Arabidopsis thaliana: one gene and its partners. The protein of the gene in region 1 binds, or shares a complex with, the protein of each later gene. Each region holds a gene or a part of one and is shown in the gene's direction. Other genes may lie near its edges.

The links.
Region 2: SAD1 (region 1) and LSM2 share a complex: the UniProt entries of both Arabidopsis thaliana proteins name them as parts of the heptameric LSM1-LSM7 complex.
Region 3: SAD1 (region 1) and emb1644 share a complex: the UniProt entries of both Arabidopsis thaliana proteins name them as parts of the heptameric LSM1-LSM7 complex.
Region 4: SAD1 (region 1) and LSM6A share a complex: the UniProt entries of both Arabidopsis thaliana proteins name them as parts of the heptameric LSM1-LSM7 complex.

What each region holds. Positions count from the first base shown.
Region 1 is NC_003076.8:19,810,464-19,817,589, forward strand, and holds SAD1 (Small nuclear ribonucleoprotein family protein), read left to right. Parts: upstream 1-2,882; 5' UTR 2,883-2,943; coding exon 2,944-2,977; intron 2,978-3,093; coding exon 3,094-3,217; intron 3,218-3,643; coding exon 3,644-3,716; intron 3,717-3,863; coding exon 3,864-3,899; 3' UTR 3,900-4,091; downstream 4,092-7,126. Other genes in the region: AT5G48860 (uncharacterized protein), read right to left, coding at 1,188-1,448, 2,136-2,402; KAT5 (peroxisomal 3-keto-acyl-CoA thiolase 2), read right to left, coding at 4,113-4,204, 4,289-4,372, 4,455-4,563, 4,647-4,770, 4,838-4,934, 5,015-5,147, 5,226-5,303, 5,372-5,479 and 6 more. UniProt on the Arabidopsis thaliana protein: Component of LSM protein complexes, which are involved in RNA processing. Component of the cytoplasmic LSM1-LSM7 complex which is involved in mRNA degradation by promoting decapping and leading to accurate 5'-3' mRNA decay.
Region 2 is NC_003070.9:814,968-822,617, reverse strand, and holds LSM2 (Small nuclear ribonucleoprotein family protein), read left to right. Parts: upstream 1-3,054; 5' UTR 3,055-3,320; coding exon 3,321-3,323; intron 3,324-3,539; coding exon 3,540-3,698; intron 3,699-4,337; coding exon 4,338-4,457; 3' UTR 4,458-4,684; downstream 4,685-7,650. Other genes in the region: AT1G03340 (uncharacterized protein), read right to left, coding at 1,391-1,880, 1,952-2,023, 2,117-2,459, 2,541-2,721, 2,835-2,906; AT1G03320 (uncharacterized protein), read right to left, coding at 4,851-5,443, 5,522-5,591; DBE1 (debranching enzyme 1), read right to left, coding at 5,995-7,650. UniProt on the Arabidopsis thaliana protein: Component of LSM protein complexes, which are involved in RNA processing. Component of the cytoplasmic LSM1-LSM7 complex which is involved in mRNA degradation by promoting decapping and leading to accurate 5'-3' mRNA decay.
Region 3 is NC_003076.8:9,811,887-9,820,091, forward strand, and holds emb1644 (Small nuclear ribonucleoprotein family protein), read left to right. Parts: upstream 1-3,613; 5' UTR 3,614-3,859; intron 3,860-3,980; 5' UTR 3,981-4,017; coding exon 4,018-4,020; intron 4,021-4,118; coding exon 4,119-4,160; intron 4,161-4,292; coding exon 4,293-4,391; intron 4,392-4,496; coding exon 4,497-4,574; intron 4,575-4,643; exon of another isoform or gene 4,644-4,781; intron 4,782-5,001; coding exon 5,002-5,038; intron 5,039-5,169; coding exon 5,170-5,277; intron 5,278-5,395; coding exon 5,396-5,418; 3' UTR 5,419-5,732; downstream 5,733-8,205. Other genes in the region: AT5G27710 (T-box protein), read left to right, coding at 1,183-1,626, 1,701-1,778, 1,853-1,995, 2,386-2,456, 2,574-2,669, 2,815-2,907, 3,050-3,132. UniProt on the Arabidopsis thaliana protein: Component of LSM protein complexes, which are involved in RNA processing. Component of the cytoplasmic LSM1-LSM7 complex which is involved in mRNA degradation by promoting decapping and leading to accurate 5'-3' mRNA decay.
Region 4 is NC_003074.8:22,094,789-22,102,244, forward strand, and holds LSM6A (Small nuclear ribonucleoprotein family protein), read left to right. Parts: upstream 1-1,680; 5' UTR 1,681-1,808; exon of another isoform or gene 1,809-2,027; 5' UTR 2,028-2,052; coding exon 2,053-2,167; intron 2,168-2,632; coding exon 2,633-2,746; intron 2,747-2,831; coding exon 2,832-2,878; 3' UTR 2,879-3,178; downstream 3,179-7,456. Other genes in the region: AT3G59800 (stress response protein), read right to left, coding at 91-137, 229-364, 795-896, 1,300-1,386; LETM1 (LETM1-like protein), read right to left, coding at 3,501-3,604, 3,688-3,803, 3,885-3,967, 4,055-4,201, 4,275-4,322, 4,417-4,611, 4,720-4,894, 4,981-5,045 and 6 more. UniProt on the Arabidopsis thaliana protein: Component of LSM protein complexes, which are involved in RNA processing. Component of the cytoplasmic LSM1-LSM7 complex which is involved in mRNA degradation by promoting decapping and leading to accurate 5'-3' mRNA decay.

The sequences.
Region 1 (7,126 bases):
ATTATAAACTTTATTATAGAAAAAAAAACGTAGCGAATCATCGTCACTCTCAGTCGTTTTGTGGCATATACAATAATAAGCCAAAACACAATGAATCTGGACAATTTGCGAGGCATTATTCACTAGTTTACAAGACTTGCCGCTCACTGATAAACATTTTGGACCACAAAGCAATAAGGCAAATAGTGTTTTCGGGGAATACAAAAATATACAATAATTCTACGGACTTGAGACTTAGCTATAAGTCAATATTGAATATTTTATAGAAATCCGAGACTAGTGGAGACATCGCATGAATTAAGACGGTTTATCAGCATTATTCAAGATTGATTTGGTTTGCATCTAACTAACATGATTAAAAATAAGAACCATTGATTAATTCATTCCTTAGAGTATGGGTTCATGCTTGCATATAAATCACTCGTTCGATTTATTTCGTATTACATCTATTTATTCTGTTTAGGTGCAAAGCCGGTCTTAATAGAATATTGTCTTGAGAACATACATATATAAACTGTCATTGTTTCTATCTCCATAAATTTTGAAATCGATCCTAACTAGTTGAATAATCCCTCTATACCAAGAAGGCAAGAACCGACATTTGAATTAATTTAACCAATTATCTTCCACAATTACTTTCTTTTTGTTGTCCATTGTTCTTCATTTACTTTTGGGTTGAATTTATGAACTCAACAAGTCAACAACATTTTATGAATCATATCAATTTTGGGTACACAATCGTGAAGATAATAACGGAGAAAGCTTGCTAAAGACTTAAAAGTGGTGTTTGTGAAGCAGTCTATATGGCCCACTATTAAACATATGTGATATCATGCATGAGTTTTGGTTACTCATTCAAAAGTATGCTGAACAATTCTTTTTTTGTTTTCAAAAATTACGGGTATGTTAGATTATTTTGAGTTAACTAAAAAGCATAGAAGATTAAAAAAATGTTACATTTTTTATATAAAATATTACAACTACATCTAGTGCCGGCTTAGCACATGTGCTTAAGGTGCTAGGACATATGGTCTAGGGTCCAAAAAAAAAAAAACATGATATGATTACATAATAGCACTGGATCTACAAAATGTTTGAGCCGGTCCTGACTACATCACATAATTTCATGCTAATGTTTTTGTGTGTTCTTACGCCTAACGTCTTCTCTACACAAAACAAAAACATGATCATGATTTAGATTTGGCTGAAAACAGAGTTCTTGATTTGAATTTGACTGGAAAAATGTTTCTTGATTTGGTTGAAACATGTTTTCTTATTCGCCTTACTCTCGGATACCTCGTAGCTGAGAAGATATGGACATTGTTCTTTATAGAAATAATGTAAAGCACGACTTCCATACCTTCTTGCAAGGATCTTTGATAAGTTCCTATCCTCATTAACATGTGTTGCACCTTGTTTTTCGATCCTCTAAGCTTCCAAGTATATGACTACAACAACGAGATTGAATATCTAATGATACAAATGGTATCTTAACTATATACTTTCTTTTCAATTCTTCTGGTAATGTGTATTTAACAATTAATTTTGCTAATCTTGGATGTAGCTTTGCACATGGATTGCTACAGATTAGAGCTGTCACAGCGGGCTGTCCATGTCCATTAGCCCAGTCCAATAATGTCCATTTCGATATTGGACAAATAGTGTTCATGTCCACTAAGGCACATGTCCATTAACGCCCGTGCCCATTAATGTCCATGTCCAAATGGGTTGTCCAATAGGCATAACAAAACCAAATTTTAACACAATAGTATTTGCTTCAGCAAGATGCTTGAATGTTTCTTTGTAAATAATCGCTCTAGAGAGCATTAGATGTGTAGAATTCCATTTTGTGCTTACTACCAATTCTTTTTTCTGTTTAAGTAACTCATATTAGTGAGCTAAGCTTTTGATATTTGCAGTTTCATGAATACACGGTGTCAAAGGACCAAGCTTCATAGTTCATACTATGCATAATGCAGACAATGAACACTATATCAAACAATAGTAACAGAAATCGAAAGAGACCCATGTCAAAATCACTCTCAATAAGCAAAAAACAGTAACAAAAAATCATTTCGAATTGAGTAATCAAAAACCCAGATCGAATTGAGTAAAAATGACGAGAATTTGCTTACTTGAACTGGATTAGGAATCTCAGGAGGATCCATGATGTGATGGAGTTGAGATGTTGAAGGAACTCGCCGGAGAAATCGCCGGAAAGAAGAAATCGCCAAATAAGCGTCGGGGAAATGTTTTTTCCCCAAATTTATTTTTGCCCGAACACTTAAACCTAATATTTTTTGACCATTGGGCCGCCCATGTCCATCACGTCCAGTCCGCTGATGCCCATGTCCGTTAACGCCCATGTCCATTAATGCCTGCTTCATAATGGGCTTGTCCATGCCCGGTCCATTAGGCGTTGGACACGGGCCACTCGTCCATTTTGATAACTCTACTACAGATCAATCGTTCAAAGAAATAATAAAATCTCAGTAGACCTATGTTTGGAAGAAACAAGAAAATTTCATAGATCCGTATAATGGATCCATGATTCAAGATTAGCATAATTAAATTCGAAAGTAAATTGACCTTATAACTAAAGTAAAGTGAATTAGGTGGTTACAGTTTTTTCCAATGACATTGTAACATAATATCTTACAAAAGCCAATATTACTATTTGAAAGGTACTTCCGTACTAGTAATGTAGGGATTTGAGACGTGATTATTTATCCTTAATATTCTAATTAGATTGAAGGTTTATATATTAAGTTTTCCATAGTTAAAAGTCAATCTTGAAACAAAAAGATAGTTTGAGGGTTCTCTTGTAAATTTCCTAAAAGTAAAACATTAATACCCTAAAAATCGAAAAATCAGAAAAAGCTTCGGAGCAAGAAAAATCAGAGAAAATTCAAAAACCCTTCACTTGCCTCACTGTTCTTCGTCATGGCGAACAATCCTTCACAGCTTCTTCCTTCAGGTATGCAATTTTTTCTTCACATCTCTCACTTTCCACCTTCTTATATGTAAGAAAATCGAACTAGATCTGCGATTTTTTGGTTTTCAATTTTTGAGCGATTTGGTTTGTTTGTGCAGAGCTAATCGATAGGTGTATAGGGTCTAAGATTTGGGTGATAATGAAAGGAGATAAGGAGCTCGTTGGTATTCTCAAAGGATTCGATGTTTATGTCAACATGGTTCTTGAAGATGTCACCGAATAGTAAGTCTGATTTTAGGGTTTCGATTATTGCTTCATATCTTGTTTAATTGGAATGTTGCTTGATCTATTACACTTTAGGAGGTGAATCATAGACATTGAACCATGGATGTGATTATGCAGAACTTAGCCTTTTGGATTTTGTTTTTGGGTAATTGATCTCAATACTGATTTGTGAATGTCCATCACAGTTCATTCATTTGCTGATTAATGACATTTATTGTGTATGCATAGAGTCTATTTCAGCGGGGTCATATGTGGTTTCGGTGACTTGAGTTGTTTGTGGTTGTGTGAGGATTAGTTAATTGATGCTTAAACCCGTGTTGCTTTGGAGTTAGGATCTCATAGATTCAAGTTTTGATTGTAACAAATTCTTGATTGAATTGTAACTAGAGTGTGTTACTAATTTATCTAAGCATCGTTGTGTAGTGAGATTACGGCAGAAGGAAGACGGGTCACAAAGCTTGATCAGATTCTACTCAATGGCAACAACATCGCCATTGTAAGTAAAAAAACACTTGTGGTTACTCATAGCCATACGTTGTATAAACTTCCTTGTGATGAATTTTCAAGTATCTTGATATAAACAGTTGGTCATTTGAATAGTCAAATTGCTAAGAAACTGGTGTTGAAAATGTTTGTGATGCAGCTGGTGCCAGGTGGGTCTCCCGAAGATGGAGAATGAGATTTGCGAGATTTGATTGGTGTTTTCAGACTTGTGTGAGGAAGGATGTAACTTTTGGTTTTAGATTTAACACTTTGTTCAGAGAAAAGTAGTTGATTTTAAACTCAGAATGACAAAAGTTTTCATTGTTCAGCAATGTGAAAGAGCTAAAGCATCATATTTATTAGACTCAATGCATCATTACTTCTACTTATTCAAGCTCTCTTCGATGTTCTAATGACTATCCCCGTTAGCCACACGAGCGTTGGACAAGTTATCAACAGAGTCTCCCCTCTCAAAAACAGCTGCAGCTCCCATTCCAGTGCCTGTGACGTTCGCATTTTACATATACCATTAACATAGGTAATCATTGATCCAATTCAATCTGAAAAAAAATCTTATATATATACCTATGCACATTGAGATTACTCCAAAGCGGCAATCTTTTCCTCTCCGCTTCATCTCGTGCAACAATGTCGCAACACATCGAGCTCCTGAACATATAGAAAAGAACTCTATTAGCCTGTAACAAATGTTGCATTTTATTTAGTTACGACAAGCTTGGTAAGTAGTAACCTGTAGCACCCAGGGGATGGCCAATAGCAATGGCTCCTCCATTAACATTGACCTTTTCCATATCCAGCTCTAACTTCTTGCAAGAGTACACATACTGAGATGCAAATGCCTGTTTAACAATGCAACAATAAAGATTTATATGTATGTATTATTCCGAAACAGGAAAAAAACCAATGTGAAATATTTTGTTACCTCATTGATCTCGAATAGATCAATATCGCTGACGTTGAGCCCTGCGAGCTTAGTTGCAGCGGGAATGGCAACAGCTGGACCAATACCCATTACAGATGGTTCCACACCAGTAACAGCAAAACTCCTGCATTGTTCCGGAATCAGATTTGCTCGGTTTCTTGAACTGGCAAAATGTTGTATATTCATTTTACCTGAATACTCCAAGAATGGGAAGTCCCTTCTTCATAGCCAAACTTCTCTTCATTAGCAGTACTGCTCCAGCACCATCACTGATCTGACTAGCATTGCCTACACAAAACACATATACTTAAATGCTTCAATCTATGATCTCACTTATGCCAGTGATAGTTAAGAGAGTTGTTTCTAACCAGCTGTGGTGGAACCGTTCTGTTTAAAGACAGTCTTCAGCTTTGCCAAATCTGCCATGTTTGAGTTTGGACGTACACCGTCATCAACAGATACGACGATTGCCTTCTCTGCTTTAGTCTCAGGGTCCACAATCTGTCAAGAACAATATCATTTACTGAGAAAGCTCTACCAAAAGGGCTTTAAAGGAAGTTTGGGAGGTTCTTGTTTTACCTTAGTAGCAACAGGAATGATTTCATCCTTGAGTTTACCAGACGCGATTGCAGCTGCAGCGCGTTTGTGAGACTCCACCTGATTATTACTGAATCAGTACTTATATGAACTAGAGAGGAAAAAAGTGAAGAGAATAACTAACTAACCGCAGCCATATCTTGCTCTTCTCTTGTGACACCGAACCTTTCTGCAACGTTTTCAGAAGTAATTCCCATTGGAAGCAAACAATCACGGGCTTTTGGGAAATCCTGTGCCTATTCCCATGTAGAGTTTACAAGATCATCACAAAACTCTTCTTGTTGAGTAAATTTATACACTCATTGTGATAGCTTACTCTTGGATTAGAGCCATGAAAGCCGCCTCCAGGAATATGATCAGTTGACATTGATTCCACTCCAGCACCAATACCTATGCAATTCACAAAGTTGAGAGAATCAATCCCATGGCCTATACAAGCAGCTAGAGACTACAAAAAACTGATGCAGCAGCATCTTACCAATGTCGTAATAACCAGCTCTAATGGAAGCAGCAACATCAGCAACTGCTTGTAGTCCTGATGAGCATTGTCTATTGACAGTTCTAACTGGCACGGAGTCTAGCTCGTAAAAGAGAAGGATGAAGAAACATATCAACAACTTGTGAGATATTAAGTTTATCTTGATTCTTGAATGAGATTTAGTACCAGGAAAACCAGCAAAATAAGCTGCAACTCTACACTCCATTGCTCTCTGAGAACCAGGCGCTATCACGGTACCAACAACGATATCACCAACTTCACTTGGATCCAAAGATGTTCTTTCCACTACAGCCTAATCAGAACAAACCATGAAACATAAGAAATCATTGATACTACTACTCCATGCATGCACAAGGTTTAATTGATGACTTACCTTAAGAACAGAAGCAAGAAGATCATCAGGAAGAGTGTCTTTGAAACCTCCACGTCTCGCTTTGCAAATGGCGGTACGATATGCCCTGAAGAAGAAGAAGAATCAAGAAACAAAGAAAACTAAAGAAAGTGAAAGTGAAGCAAACTCAATGAGTATACTTACGCTACAATCACAATGTCATCTCCAAAAGCAGCCATTGGGGAAACTTCAGAAACACAATTCACAGGCTAAAATTAACAAAAACACAAGTGAGTCACATAATAAAACAGAGTTAAAGATCATCAGCTTCCACAAACAATTTCAATGTCTAATTAAGACTCACGGATTAAGACAACTAAACTTACAGACAGAAGAGAAGGTTCATGTTTAAGAGAAGAATTAGAAGAAGAAACTGGATTGAGATGACGAAGCAATATCTTTTGTCTTTCCATAGCTCTCTCCATGATTCTCTCTGTTGCAAACACTTGTGTTGCAGCTGAATTCTAATGGTGATTGAAAGACAAAAACTTTCCGGGGAAACTGAAATGGGTTTGGTTGATTTTTCTGGAAAGGGGAAGACGTTAAGTACAATGAGCTTCAGGGTCCTCATTTTTATCGTGGGAGAGATTTTTGATCGATCGTTCTCAGTTCTCACAAGTCTGGTCTGATTGGCCTCGTTGCCAAAACCTTGTCTTGTCGTATTTGTATAAGTTAACGTCGTTACGAAAATATCGCATTTTGACATGTTTTACGCCACATACAAACTCACGCCGTTAAAAATGTGACCGGAAATTAATCGTCGGCAACTATAACTAAACCGGGCCACGTGGGAAGAATCTAACTTTTAAGCAATAAATGTTTCTTCTCATTTTGGGTATTAGTGATTTTGATAATTTGAGTAATTTACAAATTTAGAAGAATTTGAGATAATTTATAAAATTTTAGTGAATAATTTGGATATCCAGATAATATACATGATTTGTATTCTTTACCCACAAGAATTCATATCGGATATAGATTTAAGTTGTTTTG
Region 2 (7,650 bases), on another chromosome or scaffold:
TTGAGTATATCAATCAACTGACCCCTGCGAATTCGGAGCTTTAATTGTGTCAAAATTAATCTCAATTTCTGTCCTTTGTGAAGAACCAAAAAAGTTAAATATTACAAATTGTAAAACTTTTAAAATTAAAACTTCTTAAAACGTTTTAATATTTATAATTTTAAAACTCTTATGAAGTTTTATATAATATATATATTTAAAAATATATTAATACGGGACGATATAATACAATATATTTAAAACTTTTTTGAAGTTTCAAATATTATATAGATTTGAACTTTATAAGAAAATGACAAAATGATGTTTAATTTCACAGAACTAGGATATATGGTGAGACGGTTTGGATCAATATTAATACGGAATGATATACTATGGTAAAATTCTAAAATTAAACAAAATTTACAATATTAATACAAAAAATAACTTAAAATTTCAGAAATTTAGTTATATAAATCATTTCGAGATGTATCATACATAAAAAAAAGCAATAGCATATATCTATAAATCATCTTTAAAACAAAAAAATAAAAATTTTTGAGAAAAATATAGGCTCGTTGTGTACTTCTTAATATGTTTATCATTTATAAATACTATTAACTAAAATAAAATCTTTAACTTGTTAACAAAAATATAAATACGTTGTGTACCCGGATGAATATCTAGTTATTAACAAAACTGTACCATTTGTTTTGTAGAATTTTACTTATTATTTTATTTTTTGGACCAAACCAACTTATTATTTATTGGCATGTCTAGTTAGGGAAAATGTTTCAATTGAACATGTACCGTATGTGTGCATGTATAAATAGAAATTTTATGATTGGATTTTAATAATGCAACGAATCGATGTGAAACTATTAGTGTAAAACCACAATCGACGTCCTTTGAGAATTTACTGGTAAGAAGAACACAGAAAAGGATAGAAAAGGATCTGGATGGATCCAAGAGAAACCCTCGCGTGAGTAATTAACCCTCACTTAAACCCCAATCACCATTTCAAGGCGAGAAAGCAAGTTGTTTCTTGAGTAATCCAAGTTGTTTCTATTTTGCGATTTTAACGGGTCAAAGATTTGCTCTAAGGGAAGGAGGTAGAACAGTTGGAGCCGGTGTGGTATCAAAAGTGATGAGCTAAGTCGCTATAGCAGATTTAAAAGTTCTTCAAACGAAAAAACACAACTGTTCTCTAGTATCTAAAGATTCATCTCTCATGAGATTTCTACTACTTTGAGAGTTTATATCAAATAAACGAGAGATTAGTGTTTTAAAAGAAAAGCTTCTCCCAGTGTGATATCTTCACTTTATTCTACAACCTAACATTGACAAATTAACCTTTAAGCAAGCCAAAGAATGGAGTTAGAAACTAGACTCCAAATCATCAGCATTCCAACATTCAACCAAACCTAAGTGCAACCATGGCAATAACTGTGGCAGCTCTGAAGTAAACTTCTTTGATTCTTCTTTCCACTTTATTTGAGACTTCTTCTTCGTTGATTGTTTTCCTATTGAAATTAACAAGGGCTTCCCTGAGTCTACTCACAGACCACGAGAGCAATACCAAACTCAAACTCATTGCACCCTCGAAGAATTGGTTTGCGCAAAAGGGTACCTGCCTGGAAGCAACATTACAAACGAGAAAGAAGAGCACAGCCATACCAGTGCCAGCAAAGCCAATTGAACACTGAGTCAAAAGCTCGAAGAGTTCTCCACGTGATTTCTTTAGAGATAGCATTGTGGTTTTTCTATGTTGTTCATTGCCTATCATCAGAGAGAGAAGGCTCTCACACGCATGAAGACGGTTTCGTTCGTAGAGGTCATATTCCTTATCTCTTATCTTCGGATTTTGTTTCTTTGGTGAAGGCTTGAGCCTGGTTTTCTTCGGACTGTTGGAAATCGAAAGAAACGTTTTTTAAAGATGCAAAAGTACCAAAAACTAGTTGATGATATTAGATACCTCTTTGGAGGAGCTAGTGTAACTGCGTCCTCGGGTAGCTGCAGAGTGTCTATTGGTACTTCACTGTCGAATCTGCAGAATGAGAGGAGAGCAAAAACTTAATGTTAAACCCAAAAGGATGAGACTCATAGGTATGAATCAAACTTGCAGTGAAGAATTAACTACCGCTGAAACTGCGGGACAAGCCGTGAGAGCTTTCTCCATCTTGTTGAGTTCCTTAATCTATGAAACTCAGCTGCCGTAGAGACCAAATCATTCAATTCAGCTCTGCTACTTGAGAACAGAATGTTAGCATCCACCATGAGATCCAATAACGGCTTTGCATATGGTTGCTGAGAACTTGATCTTAAAGCATCTAGACCCATCAATTCAGATAGGAGAGACAAATCGAATCCTTCTTCTTTGAGTTCTTCTTCTGATCTAGACAAAAGGAACTCTAACACCTCCTCTTTTCTTGCATACTGCTGAGTGATCCCCAAGCTTAAACACACAGGGTCTGGTCCAGTTTCTGTTAACCACAGTTCATGTCAGTCGAAAAAAGGGATTACAATTTGGTGAATTCAACTGAAATTTGATCAAAGTCACATACCATGAACATCCATGAGTCTATGCTTCATCATGGTTGAATCAAACTCCAAAAAGTGGTTAGACTTACTAAAAGAAGAAAAAGGTTTCAATGGCTCCAAGAGTTGTGATTTCAGGTTAAAGGAGCTCTCCGGTAATATCTCATATTTTCTTCCTCCAGGATTCACCAGATAAGCCCGGCTTGTCTGAATCATTCATAGACATAAGAACCAAACAAGGAGAAGACAGAACCAGGACAAGAATTCAACGAGAGATTCTAAACCCAAGTGTTTTAAAACAGAGAAAGTAAAAAACTGACCTTGATGATCTCGTTGCTTCTTAGCTCTTGAAGGAGACTAAACCTAAGTGTTGAATAGCTATGAGAAGCCATTGAGAAAAAACTGACTTCTTATTTTTTTTTCTCTTCTTCGTCACAAAACCATGGAAACAAAACGAAAAAGCTTATCGTCAGCAATCTCGCCTATATATGCGTCAGATATTATAAGATTTGTGTAAATCTTTTCTTTATTCAGTTTTGGCTGGTGACCAAAACACACTTTGAGTTTTTAAATATTTACCCTTTGAGGCACTTATTACTTAAATTACCAAGAACATACCCAATCTTTTCAATAATTACATAAATATACCTTTGGTTTCTTATATTCTCGAAATTAACCCAAAGATCATTAGGGTACATACATTCTTTACTCGAGAGAGAGAAGTTCTAAAGTCCTCAAATCCCGCAAAGCTTTTTCAGCTTCTTTGTTGAATTGCGAGCAGAGGTAGAAATCAGCAGGAAACAAAAATGGTAAATTTGAATGCTTTCTTCATCTTCATGAACTTGATTGTTGGCAGTTGTTTTGTTTGACCTAGAAAAGGTTTCTTCTTTCTTCGTAATTATTCATGGGTTTACTCTTTTTTAGCCAATGGTTCTAGGGTTCTTGGAGATTTCGAGTTTATGGTTTTCGATGATGATTTAGGGTTTCTCGTGATGGGTTTTGATTGTGTTTGTTCTCTGGTGCAGTTGTTCTTTTCTTACTTCAAGGATTTGGTTGGACAAGAAGTGACGGTTGAGCTGAAGAATGATTTAGCCATAAGAGGAACTCTTCACTCAGTTGATCAGTATCTGAATATCAAGCTCGAGAACACTAGGGTTGTTGACCAGGACAAGTACCCTCACATGGTAAATTTTCTTTCTTTTAAGCGATTTCTCTAAGAATTGGGAATTTAGGGTTTATTGGAGCAGCCTATTGTTTTTTTTTTGTTCACATAGGCAATATTTTCTTTGTTGTGTGTGCTTGAAGTGCTCTTAAGTGTTTGACATTATACTGGAATTGATCTCACTCGCTAGTTTCTTGCTATACTTCTTTGTCTCGTATTGTAAAATATCACTTATGAACTGATTGAAAGCTTAATCCTTGGCTCTTGCAAATGTGTTTAAGCCTTCACTCTTTTCTTTTTCCTTGCTTTCATTTACTGTGACCAAGCTTGAGAAGCTCTAACGTGATATTGATTAGATTTACAGACGCAAAGGGATGATTTGAAGTGATTAGTGGTTCTGGTTCACATATTTGATTGAGATTGCTGCTTTTGTACTGCAATTTGTCAAGTCTACTCAGGATTACAAAAGATTTGCAATATGTTTGCATGACCAATTTCAATGCATTTAGGTTTTATGGCGTTTATATTGTTATATCTTTGGCACTGTATTTCTTTATCTTGTCAGTGTCACACTTTAGAAACCTTGTCAAATAGTACAATTTCGCTAGAATCCTCCCGAAGATGTTTTTAGCTGACGGATTTGTGTGTTTGTTCTGTGTAGCTTTCAGTGAGAAACTGTTTCATCAGAGGATCTGTGGTAAGGTACGTGCAGTTACCTAAAGATGGAGTCGATGTTGATTTGCTTCACGACGCAGCTAGAAGAGAAGCTAGGGGTGGCTGATTCTGAAATATCTTTGTATCTCCAAAACTTGAATACTTTTCATTCGGCGTAATGGCTTTATAATGAATATTTCCCTGATGTAGAGCCAATGGTATGGCCATGAATCTTGTTCCATTTTATTAACAATGGATAATTTAATTTCTTTTCCTCGTTCAAATGAAAAGCTTATTAAAGCCTACTTAGAAACACCTTCACTCTTGTCAGGCTGTCACTACTTAAGTTTTTCCCTTTCTTAGATGAAGCAAGCAGAGGAAAAACATATAGACTCAGTAAGAAGGAACTTATATAAAGTAATATGAGTTCTTGTTTGCATAGCAGCAATAGGACCTTAACTCTTGTCATTAATTTAGTTTCTTATTTCTGAGATGAAGCAAACAGAGGAAAAACATAGACTCATGAATAAAAATAGGAGTAATTTTCTGCATAGGTAGTGTAACGCTTCATAGGATTTGCATCCATGTACGGTCTGGTTTGCCAATAGGGGAAAGGACCAGCTGCAGCCATATACGGATATGCTGCAGCCATAGGCGGATATTGTGAAATGTGAACACCATCGAACATTCTGGGTCGAGGCATGGATTGGTATGGATCAATTGGACCACCACAAGGTCCACAACCACCATATGGTCCATGCATTGCCCCCATCGAAAACGGGGGATAATGGCTTCTCGAGGCTGCGGATATGGGCCACCGGTGTAAAGGATTGTGTCCACCATGGTACATCATCGGTTGAGCGGTGTAACAAGGCGGCGGCGGGTTCACACCATTTTTCTCGCTTGGCAAGTTTTTACCACCATTTTCCTCGCTTGACAAGTTTTTACCATCACCCTTCTCTTTCTTTGTACTTGAGTCTTGTGGCCATCTGAGGACGTTCTTATTCTTCTTATCCTTCTCATCTGATCCTTTCTCCCCATTGGAATCTTTTTTCGGATTCTCATTCTTTGAAACTTTCTGTTTTTGTTTCACATCCTCTTCATCAGGCTCATCTGTGCATCATAAAGGCAAAAACTTTAAGATTTGTGAAGATAAAAGTAAGAAATCTTCAAATAGGTTAAACAACTCACCTTCGTTTTTCTTCGATTTCTTCTTCTTCGTTGCTTTAACCTGACACTTTGAGCAGCAACCATCGTTCATTTTTCAGATCACGTTCCTGCTGCTTTCAAAGAAAAAATATAGCTACAGAGAATAACTTGAAGAACTTTTTTGGGTTTTACTTATAGAATTTGCTTAAGATTATAAACCCTAAGCAATCCATATCTTATCCTATCTATACAAAATAAATAAAGATTATATCAATCTTGAAGAAAATCATCTTTCCATATACATACTCGTTTGAATCCATAAAAGGCATACGCGTATCAGAACGAATAATAATCACTGATTTGAGGAGATACAGTATCAAGCTTTGGATACAAGCAAAAGGCTTAAGTGATGTTATATATATATAAGATATTGTGGAAATCATTGATTTAACTGAATATATTCTTACTGGAAATGTAACAAAACAGTAACATATACAAAGATCATAACTTGAGTTCTAAGCGGTAGTATTGATGGTTTCAAAAAGGGTACAACTGTACGGCTTCATCTCATACACAACCAGTTGCTGCAACGGTTCTTCTGCTACAACGGTTTCTCCTTCGACAGAGAAAAACCCCGGGAAAGGAAGAGCTGTGTCGACCAATCTTCTCCATTTGCTTCCATCGGGAAGTGAAGGTAAGACTACACTCTCAGGATGATCACTCGCATTGAATCCGATGAACAGATCATTGCTCTTTGGCTCATTTGGCTCAGCCAATGACGCAGTTTCCTCTTCCTCTGACTCTGATTTGATCTCCAATGCCAAAAACTTAGAAGCAGGATCTTCCCACTTTGGAGTTGTTTGGTCATTTGCATACCAAACAATATTTTCAGGTTTCAAAAAGTCTCTCCTTTGAAACACATCACTTCTTCTTGCTCTTACTGAAGTCATGAAGGAGATAAATTGCGTGATCTGTGTACCGAAAGCCGAAGCTAGCAAGTTCCAATCAAAAGGTTTCCGTGATTCCAACAAAGGCGAGCCCCTTGTCGAGATTCCACATTCATCTCCCATATTAAGCACTGGAACTCCAAGTGATATGTACTGTATAAACAAGAAATTGCGGATTTGTTTTAGCCTTCTTTGAAGAACAGCTGATTTATTCGTTGCTCCTTCTTCCCCACAATTCCAACTTAGCTCTGAAGCTAGCTCAGGGCCACTGAAACTGACTATGTCAACAAGCGAGAGTCCTGAGTTTCTTGAAATGTAGTTGAAGGAGAAGGCCGGACCTCTTCCATCGGTAAATACGTCACCACTTCCACAAATTCTTGTAGCCAGATCACTAAGAACGCCTCTTCCCCTTAAAAAATTTCTTACATTTCGACAATATCTTGTGTTGAGTTCTGCCCATCGCTTCCAATGTGGGAACCGTACTTCTTTTGGCATCATTTCAAGTGGATCCCAGCAATCAGCTATTAGTTTGGTCTCCGCAAGAAGTGGATCAAAAGCTATTGCTTCAACCAAAGGAGGACGAGAGAGCTGTTCACCGTGAACGCCTCTCAAGAGAGATGAAGCATTTATAAAACAAAATCCATCTACATGAAACTCGGTTACCCAATAACGCAAGCTCTCCAATACCAACTGCTGAACAACAGGATAGTTACAGTTCAAGTAACTTTTAGAATCTAGATCATTGGCTCTTCCCTTGTAGTAATAGGAACTGTCATCAATTCCACGAAGAGCTCCAGAATCAGCAGTATGTGTAAAAACTACTTCCAAAAGTACCTCTATTCCCTCACTGTGCAATTTCTTCACCATCACTTTCATTGAGTTAACTGCGGATTCAAGGCTATTGGAAGGTCCATATATGTCCATTGGTGAAAAGAAATGAAATGGAAAATAAGGACCTTTTTGCTCGGAGAATGAGAATATTGGCTCCAAAAGAACAGCGTTGGTTCCAAGGGTTTTCAAATGGCTAACTTTCTCAGCTACACCAGAAAATGTCCCTGCTACGTTACTAGGCAACTTGCTGGATCTGTGTTGTGTAAAACCCTTCACATTCAACCGGTAAACAAGAAGTTTCTCCAGAGGTATGTTCGGAGACACATCTTCTCCCCAATCAAAAGAAGGACTCTTAGATAAACTTCCAAGATATTTCTGAGAGACAGATTTACC
Region 3 (8,205 bases), about 10 Mb from region 1:
GTAAAAGTCCTATCTCTTGGTCTGCAAAGAAACAAAATGGTGTTGCAAGATCATCCACAGAAGCCGAATACAGAGCGGTTGCAAACACATCATCAGAAATTCGTTGGATTTGTAGCCTACTCACTGAATTTGGAATCATACTACCAGTGTCACCAGTCATCTATTGCGACAATGTCAGATCTACGTTTCTTTGTGCTAATCTTGTGTTTCAATCTCGAATGAAACATATTGCCATCGACTATCACTTCATCCGGGGTCAAGTTCAAAACGGTCTTCTCCGCGTCTCTCATGTCAACACGAAAGATCAGCTTGCATATGCACTTACAAAGCCATTACCACGCAGTCGGTTTCTCGAGCTAAGAAACAAGATTGGTGTGACCATAGTCCCTCCATCTTGAGGGGGCGTGTCAAGGATATGATATGATCATATCATCATTCCCTGTATATCTTATTTCCTTTTCTATCTCTCTTTCTATAAGAGACTTAACCTAGAGTTTTCTACTGATTCATGTATATATATGCTTGTAATCTCCTTTGGAAATATATGCAATACACATTACTTACACTCCTCCGATGACACTTGGACCCTATAGAATAAAAAATGTATCGCCTTGCAAACAAATCCATCCAAACCCAGTCGTGTGGTCTGACGCCTTCCATGATCCATCAAACTGACATCCAATGTTCAAGAACATAAGTTATGAGGTTGTGGAGTCATTTTGTTTCCTCAAGAGCCTCTAATTGTGTCTCCTCCCTTTATAATTGTTAACTTTGAGCATAATTTATAATATTAGTGGGTTCCTCGTAGAGTCTCTTAAACACTTTATCATTCCATGCTTTCCACATAAACCATAAAGTCCATAGAAACAAAATTGAATATTGTGATTTGTGAAATGGCAATGTATAAGTGATGTGGGATGTTAAAATTGATGGATGATCAAGATCGTCGTTTGATGGAAGTGGCCCAACTATTTCTTAACGGGCTTCTTAATGGGTTTTAAGGTTGCCCACAAATTGTGTGCCACAATGTTTGTCGTTGTCGCTAATTAATGGCTTCGTTAATTAAACACTTCTAATAATTCTCCAATGGAGTTTACGTGACTCTACAGTCTCTCTTCTCCATTCTCCAATTTCTACAAAGATAATGTGGATTCACCAAAAATTCAGAGGAAGGACACGACAATGGTGAATTCGTACGTTCCTCTTCGTTTCACCATTTTCATCTCCTTCTCCATCGCAGCAGCTTCATCCTTCAAACTCCACTCCGCTTCTCATTCTCCGTCGTCATTTCCGAAAGCCACCGGCGACGATCTACTCTCCGTTCTCGGACCTCCCTCCGCCGCGTCGTGCCTCAACCCAATCGTCTCTCGAGAGATCAAATCGTGTCTTAAATTCCTCGTCCCATTCAAATCGGATAAACCTAAACCCGAATTTGGACGATGCTCGCCTCGTACTGGACTCTGTTCCGGAAAAATTGACGCCGTTGAGAGACGGAGCAAGTTTGAAGAGGAGAATTCTCTAATCTGGTGGCCACCGGAATCGGTTCTAGAGCTTGCTCGTCTCGCTGTTGACTCCGGTGGTGATCCCGGTTCAATTCAGCGAACTCTCAATCCGAAAATGATCCCGGTTCGTCTTCAATTTAATGGTTTGATTTGGTTTATTGTTCGTTAGATTGAATTGGTTAAAATTTGGTTTTATAGGTTCCTGATGTTGAACGATCAAGAAAAGATAAATGTCAACTTACTAGAACTCCTTATGGTCGTCATTTTATAGCAGAGGTAAAAAAAGAAGCTATTTTGTGAACTGTTTGATCTTATGGTGTAGTGATCTGATTGATGATGTTAATGAACAGGAAGTGAACTCATATTTCGAGTTCTTGTTTCATCTAATTGAATCTAGGGGACCTAGTGTTGGATTGAATGTTTCATTGAGTAGATATGATTTGTTCCATGGCCATTTATTCCTTGCCTCAGAATCTGGACGCCTTGGAATATTGTAAGTCTCCTTTGTCTCCTCAACACACACTAGGACTCTTGAAATAGTAATGATGATCATGTTCTGTTACTGACTTCGTTGTGTAAGAATCGAGACGCTTTGATAGGCACTAGAATAGTAGATATAAGGGGGTCTAGACCATTTGGTTAATTGGGAGCATTTAGGCTTTGAGAGTGAAGAGAACTCTCTAGGGTTTGTTCTTGTGTTCTTGAATGTAACCAACAGTTATCAATAAAGGAAGAATGGTTTCTGATTCTTAACACAATTGTTGCAGTGTTTTTAGAAAGGTTGAACGTAAGTAATGAGTTTTGGGGAATATTTATAGAAAGTTACATGGTTGAGCTAGGTTTTGAGTACTGTTGTTGACTAGTATCTGATTGGTGATGGTAGGTTTCATGCTAAAGAGTATCCAGCCTATGACAAGAAAGTGTTTCCTTACAACATGGGATATTGCCAGAGAGGTAATATGGGTTCTTGTCCGTGTGACTGTGAGTTTTCTTGCAATCTCTTGAAACATAGAAATGGTCACAGAAATCCCTTAAATCTTCAGTATTATGATTGTATCTCCTTTTTGTTAGGATCTGACGTGAAATACAATGATTCAATGAACTTGAGGAATATCCTTTGGCTTGCACCATTACCTAGCAACTCTTCTCCAGATTGGGTTGCTCCAGGTATAATATCTGTTTTCATCTCTGAGAGTAATAGAAAAGATCTAAACACTTCATAGTTTCAAGATGATCTTGTCTTTCATTAGTATCGTGGAAAACAATTGTAGTGTTACGTTTGACATCTTCCTTTCCTTTGATTGATCTGTAGGTGTACTTGTGGTTCTTGATGCGCATCCGGATGGAATCATATACCGAGATCTCATCCCTGACTATGTTAAGTTTGTAAGAACAATATACGAAGGTTTGAACAACTCTATACCTTCTCTCATCTCACTCATCAATTTGCTTCATTGTAGATCACATTTGATTACACATACATACACTCAAAGTCTCTTAAAGATTTATGCTCTATTGAAACTTTATGTCTTATCCTTCTCCACCAGATGATTTGGGAACAACCGCAGTTGATGTCAATTACTTGAATGTCGGAGCTCACGAACCTGACTATCAGCTTTTCATGTGCTGAAACAAACCAGTTACAGATTCACAATTACACAGTTGTGTGTAATTGAAACTTTGATTAAGATTTAGTTACTGGAGCTGGTCGAGGTTCAATAACGTTCGAGTTGGTTGATAATTTAGAGAGGTCTGAAGTATTGTCGGTTACAAAATAGCTTTAACAATCACATTGCTGAGGCTTTAAGCTTAATTGTAAAAGTTTAGGATTAGATTTGACATATCACTTGGCTTTGTTTGATTCACACAGTTCGCCTTAGTGATGTAAATTAATTAATTTCGAGAGCATCAATAACATATTAATGATTAGTTATTTTCCACCAGGTAACCATTGCCAACGGCTACAAATACACTTTGGTGTAGACAAAGTATACGAAAAATTAAAACAAAAAGCTCCGATGCCGGGAATCGAACCCGGGTCTCCTGGGTGAAAGCCAGATATCCTAACCGCTGGACGACATCGGATTAGTTGGCTAGATTGATATGTTTAACAATATATACTAAAACAGATAATATTATAAAGTTAAGGGACTCGAGTGCAAAACTCAAAAAAGTTCCCATTGACCTAAAACTAAAAGACCACCGATTCATTAGAAATCCATCCCTCTCACTGTCAAAACCCGAGAAGCAGAAAAAAGCAAAAAACAGATTTCGAAGTTTCGACGCCTCTCTATTCTTCGATCTCTTTCATATTTGAATCGTTCACCTTCTTGCCGATCTTCGGAGTATATTACAAGGTTTCTCCCTTTTCTCTCAGATTTTTTTTAGTAGCTGAATTAGGGTTTTTGTTCCGTTTTCGCTATTGCTTCTTCCGCATCTTATAAAGGGTTTAATGTTATACTTCTCTGATGTCATCAGGTTCTTAACGGATCTCTAAATCTTCTGATTTAAGAAGATGGTAAGTTACTAGACAAACTTAGGGTTTTTTTCCTTCTTTCTTGTTTGCGTTAAAGTTTCAATTTTTATTAACTGAAAGCTGTTGTTTTGATTTTATAGCTTCCTCTATCGCTGCTTAAAACTGCTCAAGGGCATCCTATGGTGAGTAAAATTTCGACCCTTGATTACAATTTTGTTATATATGAAGTGAAGCTGAGTTTAAGTGAGCATTGCATTAGGGATCTAAAGGAACTTCCTTTTACTGTAATTTTGAATCTTGTTTTGTTTTGGTAGCTCGTGGAGCTTAAGAATGGAGAGACATACAATGGGCATTTGGTGAATTGTGATACTTGGATGAACATCCATCTGCGTGAAGTCATATGTACATCAAAGGTTATCTTATGTTTTCATATGTTGATACAAATATACTTTGTTTAGACTTCGTGATGAAATTTTGTGTAGCTGACACTCATATATTTTGCTGCTTGATTACTCTAGGACGGAGATAGATTTTGGAGGATGCCGGAATGTTATATCCGTGGTAACACAATCAAGTACCTTCGAGTTCCGGATGAGGTAATTTTTTTTTGTGTGTGTGTGTATATATCTCTTGCTTGATCTAGTTTTTTCTTTGTTCCCCTCTCTCTGGAATGATGATGCTTAGCCAAATCAGATATGTGCTCCAAGAGGCATTTTTCTGTGGAACCTTGTTCAGCAGATGGTGTGCCTCTTGTTGTAGTGCGTCTTAGACGATATCACAGGGAATGGTTATTGCTGACCAGAATGTTGACCCACTTTTATGGACTTTGCTGTGTTGTGTTTCTGATGCGATTTTTCTCTATTGTTTCTACTTTATTTCATTCCCTCTAAAATCAAATTATATTCACATACCATAAACGATATCTTCATCTAGAAGGACAGTCATATGCTGTTTCTATTTATGTTCTTACTGCTGCAACCTAGATTGAGTTAACTGACTTAAATTGATTTCTTCTCTCTTCAGGTGATTGATAAAGTACAGGAGGAGAAGACACGCACAGGTATAGTATTACTCATGTCTATATTGTACCTTTACTGAGATATGCTTCGAGTTTTCTGAGGTGTTAATATTTTGCCAGAGTAGACATTGAGAATACTTCAGGTGTTAATAACGATGGTTGAATATGTGCAGATAGAAAACCACCAGGTGTTGGACGTGGAAGAGGACGTGGTGTGGATGATGGAGGAGCCAGAGGCAGAGGCAGAGGAACTTCAATGGGGAAGATGGGTGGCAACAGAGGTAAAAAATACACAAACAAAGCTTGTCACAAAACTCTGATTTTACTAGAATACTTCAAATATCTGTGTCTTGCCACAATGGGATTTAAGCTAAAACTCTAATATGTTATGAAAAACAGGAGCAGGTCGCGGCCGTGGTTGATGCAACAAGTTTTAAAGACTCGCTGCCAAATCTGCTAACTTCCCATTGTGGAGAAAACCAAAAGTTACATAAGAAGTTGGTCTGTTGTTGGTTTTCTATTAAGTATGTAAGGGATAGGGAGTGTGTTTTTCGATTCTCCTTGTGATCTTTTCGAAAAATGAAATTTGTCTTTTGCCTTTTTGTGGTATATGTGAAATTCCAATTGTTTTCATTTGCGCTTAAAAATGAATCTTTCAGGTCTTGAATTTATATAATTGTTAGAGAATTTATACAATTAACCAACGACAGGGTTTTTATAAGATCTTTGGTCCATCTTACCCTTTTATTATTTTTCTTTTTTTCCTATCTATTCTTTTTTTCCTCTTTCACCGGATTTTCTCCATCACTCGTCGGCATGACATATAAGATTAGATATGATTTAAAAAACGCATGTATTTCAAAGACAAAACATGCTCTTAAGTCTTTACATTGACTTGTAAATTTTTGTCAAGCTATCTAACAAAATCTCATATTTTTTTTTTGGAACAGATTCATATTTTTGTCAAGATTTCATGTTATATAAACAAATTACATGTCTTTTATCCAATATATCATTAGTATTTCATAAAATAACTATGTTTTAATGTAATAATTATACATATCTGTCAATATTTCACGTTATGTAAGGAGTCATATGTATTTCTTCAAATATCATGAAAATTACATATTTTTCTTCACTGTATTTTTACAATTGAATTTTCCTCTTCTCAAATCTATCGGAAGTCTTATTGTAATATTAGAAATTGATAAAGATATTTTCGTCAATATACACCGTCTAACGTGTGAATCCATAGTTCTTTTCTAACAAAAACTAAACTTATGATTAATATCTTTATTTAATCTCAGAATTTGGCTATCTAGTAATAACAACCTAATTATTATCTGAGTAAATCCCTAGAAAAAACTAGTAGTAATGGAATTTGCATGAGAATATGAGTATTTTGGTCATTTATTTTATTTTTCTCAATGTAAACTTAAATATTTATGGGTAAACAAAAAATAAAATCATAGAAGATGATATAATTAAAGATTTGCGAACGAAAATCTCATAATCAAATCTCTCTCTTCTGACACACGAAATAATGACGATAATAACCCTATCCCGACACAATCTCTGACATAAAATCAAAGCATTTAATGCTCAAAATCTCTATAAAAAAATTCATGCATCAGAATAGTTAGCAGATAACGTATTATCAGGATAACATGATAACAAATATCTCGGTAATATTTATTAGGTTAACATGATAACAAATATTTATATCAATAAGTTTATAATTATGTCATGGTAAGTCATTTTGTATCGCGATAAGTTATAATTGATGTGATATATATAGATATTTACCATCTTAACTCATTTATTATATCATAATAAAAAATTAACGAGTTACTATAACGTACAAAATATGAATTTCATCCAATAACATTATTATTATCACTACCTCTAGATAAAGTTTTAGTTAACTAGGTAATTTAATTGTTAACCAATTTGAATCTGAACAAAAACTACCATTGCGTAATCTTCAACCACCACATCTCCGCCGTATTCTTCTCACCCCATCATTTCAGAACCATTTTTTTCCTCTACCGCAAACCCACACCCTAATCGATTTAGAACTAGATCTTTAAACGATTGAGAGAAACTGCCGGTAATTCGCGAAACTTATTTGGATTTATCGACCAGAACCACAGAGCTTTGAACGGAGACTGGAACTGAATATCGGAAAAAAGAAAAACAGAGTTAAGTTGAATCGAATCTATATGAGAGATATTATGTCTCTCGTCTCTGACACACGTTACTGTGTATCTTATATATTACTTTAGACTGGATAGACTGTGTAGGGGCTTATAGGTCATATTTTGTGTACAAAAACCATATAAACAATGTCGAAAATATGTCAGTTAATTAACGGGTCTTCTTTGGTCATCTTGTGTAAAAACCCAATATTTATTAAACAATTACGTTAAGAATTTATTTTATCTTTCATCTGCTTCCTTCATCATCTCTCTCTCTCCATCGCGTACAACAGTAACACAAACCATTTTTTTTTAAATCTTTCTCTCTCTTCTCTCAATCGAACTTTCAGAGAAAAAAAATATAATCTTTGCCGAGTGGAAAATTTCCGGTGAAGCCGTCCCGAGTGACTCGGGCTCTTGCCCGGTATCTTTCAGCTTCAATAGTGGAGATAACCGGTTTTATGTCGAGCAAATCCAGCTTCCATAAGTGGTGTTGACTGGTTTTTATCTTTTTTCCAGTCAATCGGATTATTATCGATTGCTTTACTTCTTTTCCATGTTTTCTTTCAATAATTTCTAAAAATCTGAGTTGGTAATTAGTTTTAAGTGCTAGCTATTTAAAATTAATGTCTCTGGCTTTTGGTTTTAGAAACCTCGATTTGCAAGAAATCGTTCAAACGATTACATCTGGGTTTGAAAGATTGAAGGATAATCCGATGCTTATTAGGATTCTCTTAAGCCGTCTATTTCTTTGGGAGCTCCATCCATATCTATTCTGGTGGTAAACAAAGATTATTCGTACGTTTTATTCGGCGATGTTTTCCTCCACCGGATTTGGTGCTCGTCGACGGTGGAGGCTGATGTCCGTACACTTCCGATGACTCATTTACATGTGCTGTAGTTATAATCTCATGTCAACACGTGTCTTTGGATAGAGTCAAATGTTGAAGATCTTTTGGCTGTTGATATTAATCTGGTGGATCTGTTGTTGGACCTTTCTTTTATTTCAGC
Region 4 (7,456 bases), on another chromosome or scaffold:
CAAATTCATAACACAACCGATCATGGTTCATGTTAGCATAAGCTAGAAAACCTCACACTATCTGATATAAGCTAAACTTTTAGAAGGCACCTTTCTCTTTTTGCTTTTCTTCTTCTTTGAATCTCTGTCTTTCTTATCTGCGAGGTCATTGAACCATTGGCGACCAGTTAATAACGTCCTCAGAAAGAAGGTTTAGATGTCATGTTAAGTTAAGTGGATTATGTTTACCTTTTCGTGACTTATCACTAGAATAGTTCCTTCCTTTGGAGAGTTTCAACGACCTTTCTGCATCCAGCTGAGCTCTATACTCACGCATCAGTTTATCGGTATCTGCTTCAAGTTCTCCCTTTTTCAATTCTTCTTCCTACACATGTTACACGAAAGAAAGATATAATGTTAAACATTTCCTAATGTTCCATACTCACAATACAGAGAGACTGCTGCAAGTAGTAGTAAAAAACTGATATTGCAGATAATAAAAATGTTTAAAAAATGAGCATGACTAGAGTTACTTGAAAACCGCGAGATAGGGATAGATGTAATGTAGAAGGAAGACACACTCATTTTTATATAAACACACAAAGACTGCGTATCTGTGGCTGAAGATGATAAACAGCAGAGGAAAAGAAAATGATATGTTGGAATAAAGCTTCTAAATTGACGACAATAATAGCAATCTTATGAACACTAAATCATCAATGGTCAATTGATTATCTTCTATGGCATTATAACAAGGAACACCGTTCCATACAACATACAGAAGAACTTAAGTATTAAAAAGGCAAAAAGATTACCTTTTGCTTCTGCTTATACTCTTCCCAGGTAATAGTATGTGTAGTCTTGAGGCTAGCCAAACGAGCCGCATGCCACTCTGGTGTATGAAATGAACCATCCACCTGAGACAATCCTCATCAGAAATGTTCCGGTACCAATGCAAAATATCAAAGTTTGACTAATCCAAATGCTTCTTTGTGTTCACAGCTTACAACAACAATAAAAAGACTCTTGAATCACTGTAACACAAACTCTGATGCTACACTTTTACGAAATCACATTTAAACATGGACTTGATATCGTCTACAAGACCTAGCAGGTATTAGATACAAGTTCTTCCCCCAAAATTGGGACTCATAAAGGATCTCTTGTAGGCTTAATTCTAAATGCAGCTCGATAACCCAACAACACAAAAGATCAACAAAACCATAAGTAAATCAACCAAATTGGAATTTTGTTTGGAGAAGTAAAAAAAAACAGAATCAATTTGCAATGAAGAAGATGAGAGTATGAAAAGGTACAAACCATTCCGTCTTCAACCTCATCCGGCTGGGCGGAGCTGGAACCAACCCTAGATCTCTGCATAGCCTTGTAAGCTTGATTCTTCCCCATAGCTAATAGAAGATTTACCCCACAAGAAACAGTCCGCAAATTCCTTGCAGGAGAAAGAGAATTTAGAGAGATTGAGAGGAATTGTTTGTAAAATCTAGGGTTTGGGGGATTAACGGTCCAAAGGGAGAGGATTTAGGGATCTGTAGAGAAAGCAAACGAGAGAGAGACGAGAACAGAAGAAACTGTGAGGTCGAACCGAAACGCACTGGAGATTTAATTTCACCCTCCAAAGTAAAATAATAAAATCTATAAGGACTAATGTTCAATTATTATTAGTTTTAATATGAAAACTCGATCGAATCGAAATAACAATAATCATATAGTATATAGTTTTGGAAATAAATAATAAAAGCCCTTAGGACCGATTCGTTATTTCTTCGCTCTCTCTTTCTCTCTGTGTCTCGTACTCGAGTAGGTCTCAGGTAAGGAGTTCTTCTTTCAGTTCCTTTAATCCTTGTTAAAGTTTCGATTTCTCTTTACATTTTCAATCGAATTCGCTTCTATTGGGTTGAAGGTTTAGGTTTTTAGGTTTCGGAGTCTTTTTGTGATTCGAGAGATTGACTCTGAATGGTTTTTACCTTTTGAGTTTTTGTAGTTCGAAGAGCGACCAAACTGATTTCAGATCTCAATTGTTTCTGCAGTTACGTAAAGGATCGAGCTTAAAAGATGAGTGGAGTTGAAGAGAAAGTTTCTGGAACGACAAAGACACCTGCAGATTTCCTCAAATCCATCCGTGGGAGACCCGTTGTTGTCAAGCTCAATTCTGGTGTTGATTATCGAGGTGCCTCTCTCTCTCGTTAGATGTTCTTATGTGTTTTGCAAGTTCTCTATCTCTGCTGCACTTTAGGTTAGAAGCTTTGACTTAGGACTAGTTCTTTTGTCTATGTTAAGGGAATTAAAGAGTTGCTTGTATTAAGCCCACTTAAGTAACTTAATTATCATGTTATGTCTTCAGCTTTTAAATGATTCTTTTAAAGTCAATATGTGAAGCTTTTCTTACATTTTCTAAGGTTTCCTTGTGAACATTGTTCAATGGTTTTCTTAAGAACATGTTCCTTTCTGCCTGCAATAAGGTTACAATAGTTGACTGAGATATTTGAATATTTAAGTCAGTTTCTCTCATTATCAAGGCTACTTATATCATTCTTGTTGACTTCTTTCCTTTCGTGCCCGAGTCAGTTTTGTCTATGTTCTGTTCAAGCTTAATGTTGAGTTCTTGATCAAGTTTTTATTACTCTTTTCACAGGCACTCTTACTTGTCTTGATGGATATATGAACATAGCAATGGAGCAGACGGAGGAGTATGTAAACGGGCAGCTCAAGAACAAATATGGTGACGCCTTTATCCGTGGAAACAACGGTAACTAAAATCTCTCACACTCATCCTTCTCTCAATCTTCTTCTTTGTATATCTTTCTTTTTAAGTGTGGTTTCTTTGGATGCAGTTCTTTACATCAGTACAGTAAACATGACTGTAGCAGACGGAGCCTAGGCCCATCATGATCATCAACAACAACAACAGTGGTCATGTTATGGCTGCCATTTTTGTTGTCTTCTTCTACCTCATATTAAAAGAGTAGTAGACATGTACCAAGATTGTCATCCTATGTTCTTCAGTAGATTTTTGGGATACAGACATCACTTTTTTCTTAGTAATATGATACTCTTCCATGTGACCCCAGATAAAGAAGAAAAATTATTAATTTATGGCTTGATACAATCATACAAGCAAACAAAATTGAGTTTGGGTGACCAACAGATCGAAACGAGGAAGATCATTAAAGTTTAGTAATCGAATTATGTCATTTAGGGATCACTGGAAACACACATGTCAAACTAGTATAACCAGTCAATCATCAGATTATCATATTCATAGCCATCGACACATTTGAATCAGGAGTTTCCATTGAAATAAAACGCTCAAGATATCATTCTTGGCGTAATGTTATTTTTAATCTTCAACCTCTTTTCACATTACTAGCAAAAGGTCTCGTATTCTTAGCCGCTTGTATATGTAAGTAGCCTGCTTATGTCTAAGCAGCAAAACATGAAGTAGAGCTTCTCTCAATAAAACTCTCTTCACTAGTATTAAAAAGTCTATGTGTGTCTTAAAATCATAGTATTATTTCCTTCAGCTTGATTCTTCTTCCGTTGCATTTTCTTCTGGCTTGCTTCCCAATCTCCCCAACCTTACAATGTCTTCCACCATAATTCTTCCCTCTGTTGAATAACAGATTTATAAAAAAGATCAACTTCAGGGAGATAAGAGCTCAAGAAGGAGAGGATCGCTCTGTTCTTTACCTTTATCTTTGGAGAGACTACTGATTAGTTGTTGAAGGCCGTCGTTAGCGAGTGTGTCTTTCAGGTACATTGCAGCAGCCGCAACTTCATCAGGTGTGACTTTTCCATCTCGATCTCTGTGTTCATTCAGATGTGATCACTTTAGATTCTAAGTCTCGGAAACAGAACACTCAAACAGAAAAATGGAGTCTATATACCTGTCAAGAAGCTGCCAGCCTTTGCCAATTTTGATATCCACATCATCAATTTCCTTCTCTAGGTTTTGTATCAGACCATCAACCTTAAAAAGTATGACCGAAGAGTAAGCCTCTTAAACAAATCTCATGGGACTTTAATAGTCTTAAAAACCGATTTAAAATCTTCTTACCTTCTCCATTAGTGCAGAGGAAACCTCGTCTGCTTCAGCAACTTCATCAGCTTGGTCAATATCTACTCTAGCTGCTTTGTATGCCTTCATTGCAGCTTTTTCACCATCTACATCTTCTCTCTCGACCATTGTGTTATAGAACTCCACCTGGAGAAACAGAAAAACAAAGTCTTTCAATCTACGACACAAAGTGCTGATCAAGCATTGGTGGACAGCGTACCTCTTTCTTGACCAATCTCAGGAATTCTTCGCGCTCTCTACACACCGACTGTTTATATCAAAAGCAAACAGAGTATCAAATAAATATCCAATAAACTGCTCTGCATACCCATTGTTGATAACCATAGACTCATTTTTCTTACAGAAGCGGAAGCCAAAACGCCCAAGGCGCGGCTAAGTTTGCAAAGATCATCTTGTTGTTCAAGAACTCTAGCTCTGGCCTGTTCTTGTGCTTCGCTGGCTGTTGGTATGGTCATCTCTTGCAGTGCCTTATCCTCGTCACCACCTTTAACATCCTTAATCCTTGTAAGCTCTTCTTCTTCTTTCTCTTCTTCTTCCTGCAAATATAATAAATACAAAATGTAAAATCTGGAGCAACCAAAATTCGGTTTCTCTAACTTCCTCAAGCAAGCATAATCCAATACAGTCAAGTGGTGTATCAAGACCTTGATCAGTTCTTCTTGCATCTCAAGGTACTCTAATTTCCGTCTTCGCTCAGAAACAGGGTCTTCAGATGGCAGAGAAGTAATACCAACAGTATCCACAACCTCGTCAGGTAGAGAAGAAAGAGTAGCTCGGACAGCATCCTCTGCTTTAACTCTTCCAGCAACCGTGAATGCCCTGAATATAAATTGCTCTTAGAAATTTCTTTGCAATAAAACTGATCGAAGAACAAAAAAATGACAGCAAAGAGTACTGGAACCAACCTAGAGAGGATCAATAACGAAGAGGGGACAGAATGATTAAGTGACAAATCCATCCAATCGCGAAGCTACAAAATTGTTTCAATACTAAAACATTAATAGCTGTAGAGTTATCTTCTCCTGATGGAGTTTAATAAAGAAATAACAAAGAATCAAGAATCATAGGAGTAAAGAGGAGAAACCTGTTGCCTCATCTCTTCAACTGAAACCAGTCCCAGCATTCCCCGTTCCCTGCAATCTTCGCGTAACTCAGCTTCTGAAAGGGAATCCACACCCTCAGCTCTAATCAGTTTATCATCTTCCTTAATGCTGCAGTGAAAAGAAGTAGAAATTAAACATCAAATTAAGGTAAAAACTAACAATTCTAATAACAACGAGATATGGAAGAATCTTACCTCCTCAGTCTTTTTCTGAGCATATACCGCAGATAAGCATCTGTTCCATATGGGCTAATACCCATATATTTGCACATGCTAACCAAGCGAGGCCTATATTTGAAAAACAAAGAGGTATATTACTGTCGGAACATGAACCTCTAAGAGCACAAGACATCTCTGAGATCAAACAAAAAAGAAACGACTAACCTGCTAATGTTATCCAAAGTAAGCTCATCGTTGAAAAGCTTTGCAAAGCCCAAAAGTTCATCATTATGGACTATTTGACCTCTTCGAACCTGCAAGGCATGATTTTAAGAACAAGGAGAATGAAATTCAAATCCAAAAACCGAAAGAAGAGGAAGTATTTGAGCCAACACAAAATTATGACTGTTTACCTTGTCTAGAAACTCATCCAGGTCTTCAGCGGTTTGCTTTACTTCTCCAGTTCTTGAATGTTTAACTTCCTTAGCCATCTCTCTGGCGGTTTCCTGAAGAAACTTAGCATATTCTATCCTTGCAAGTAATTTCCTTTTCAAAGCTTCCTGTGCATTAACAAAAGAGCAACATCGGAAAGAGACCAAGAAGGCAAGAAGGTAGTAAACGAATGAGTAAAGCCTACACTCTGTTGAAACATACCTCTTCTTTCATCTTGTCCTGGAAAGTTGATGGTAACATATTAGGGAAGAGCTTCAAGAAAACTGGGAGCAAAAACTCCATAAACGGCACAAGGATGAACACTGCAAATGGCACTAATCTAAAGATATCAGCTGTCGTTCGAGTTAGCTGTTGCCTTTCTCTTCTGGAGAGACTTTTTCCACCAGCCAACTTGAGCAGCAATCTTGAACTGATTCTAGTGTCTGCCCAGAGTAATTTGGTCCCCAGCCAATAATGTTTCAATGTTGATACAAACTCATGTTTCCAGTGAGTGAGCTTTTTTGCCCAATCCGCCCTGTAGAAAACAGAAAATCAGTACACATAAAAATCCATGCATAAAGCCTGGCGATTAAGAACGCAAAATGTGAGGATAAAGCCAAACCTGTTCATGGAGGCAACAGCTTTTATAGCAGGTCCTATCTTAAGAACAATTGCCCATGCCCTCTGTACTATCGATCGAGCAACCTTTTTGGATTCTTGAAGACGTTTAGCTTTCGCCTTTGCTTTAACACTGCTCAGACTTTCAACAGCTTGATCACATTCCTCAGGAGATGCTTCTTTCCTGTTCTTAGCAAGCTCATCAACCTTTTTATCCTCTTCTTCCGGTTTCTTAGCTGCAACTGTAGTAGCATTACGAATGGATAGGCTCATGTATCTCATCCCCAGAGAAGGACCAACTTCTGAACTTCCATAACCAAATCCCGAGGAGTGAAAACCATGAAAGCTACGATTGAAATATCCATTTCTAGAAAGCAATAGAAGACCATCTCTTCTTGTAAAGGACTTGTGTTCAGTCACAGGTTTAGTTTCCACGGGAGGACGGTTAATACCAGAGTGGTAAGCATGTGAATGAACCGTCTGAGAGGAGTTTCCAATGTACTGAAAGCTCTGAATAGAGCGAGCATAGACATTCAAGTAATCGGAAATGATATTCTTTCTCCTAACGATCGCTCTTGACGCCATTTTGTCAAATCCCTTGTTGTGCAAAGATGAATCACCTGAACATCTCCCAGAAGAGAACACTCCTGATAGATTTGAAAGAGGAAAAATCGCTATCAAAATCTACGAACCGAAACAAAACTCAGACGATAAATCGAAATCGGTATGAGAAAAATCACAATATTTACCCTAGAAAACTCTCAAATGACGACAATTCTCGAAATCTCGAATAGAGTTGAAAAATGAAGCGACGCAAGCAATCGAAATGCAAAGCCTTGATTTTAAGAAATATGAGGAATTCGAAGAAGATATTGAAGAAAATAACGAAGTATAACTTACAGTAGACGGAGGAATCTGAAAATGACGAACGCTGTTTACCGGAGAAAGTGAATCACGCCGGAGAAATTTGAGAGGTTTTAGGGATGCGGCAAATAAATCGTGAGAAAGGGTTTTAGATTTTTCTTTACTTATTTTTTTGTATCACTTTTTAGGACAGAATAAATAAAGAT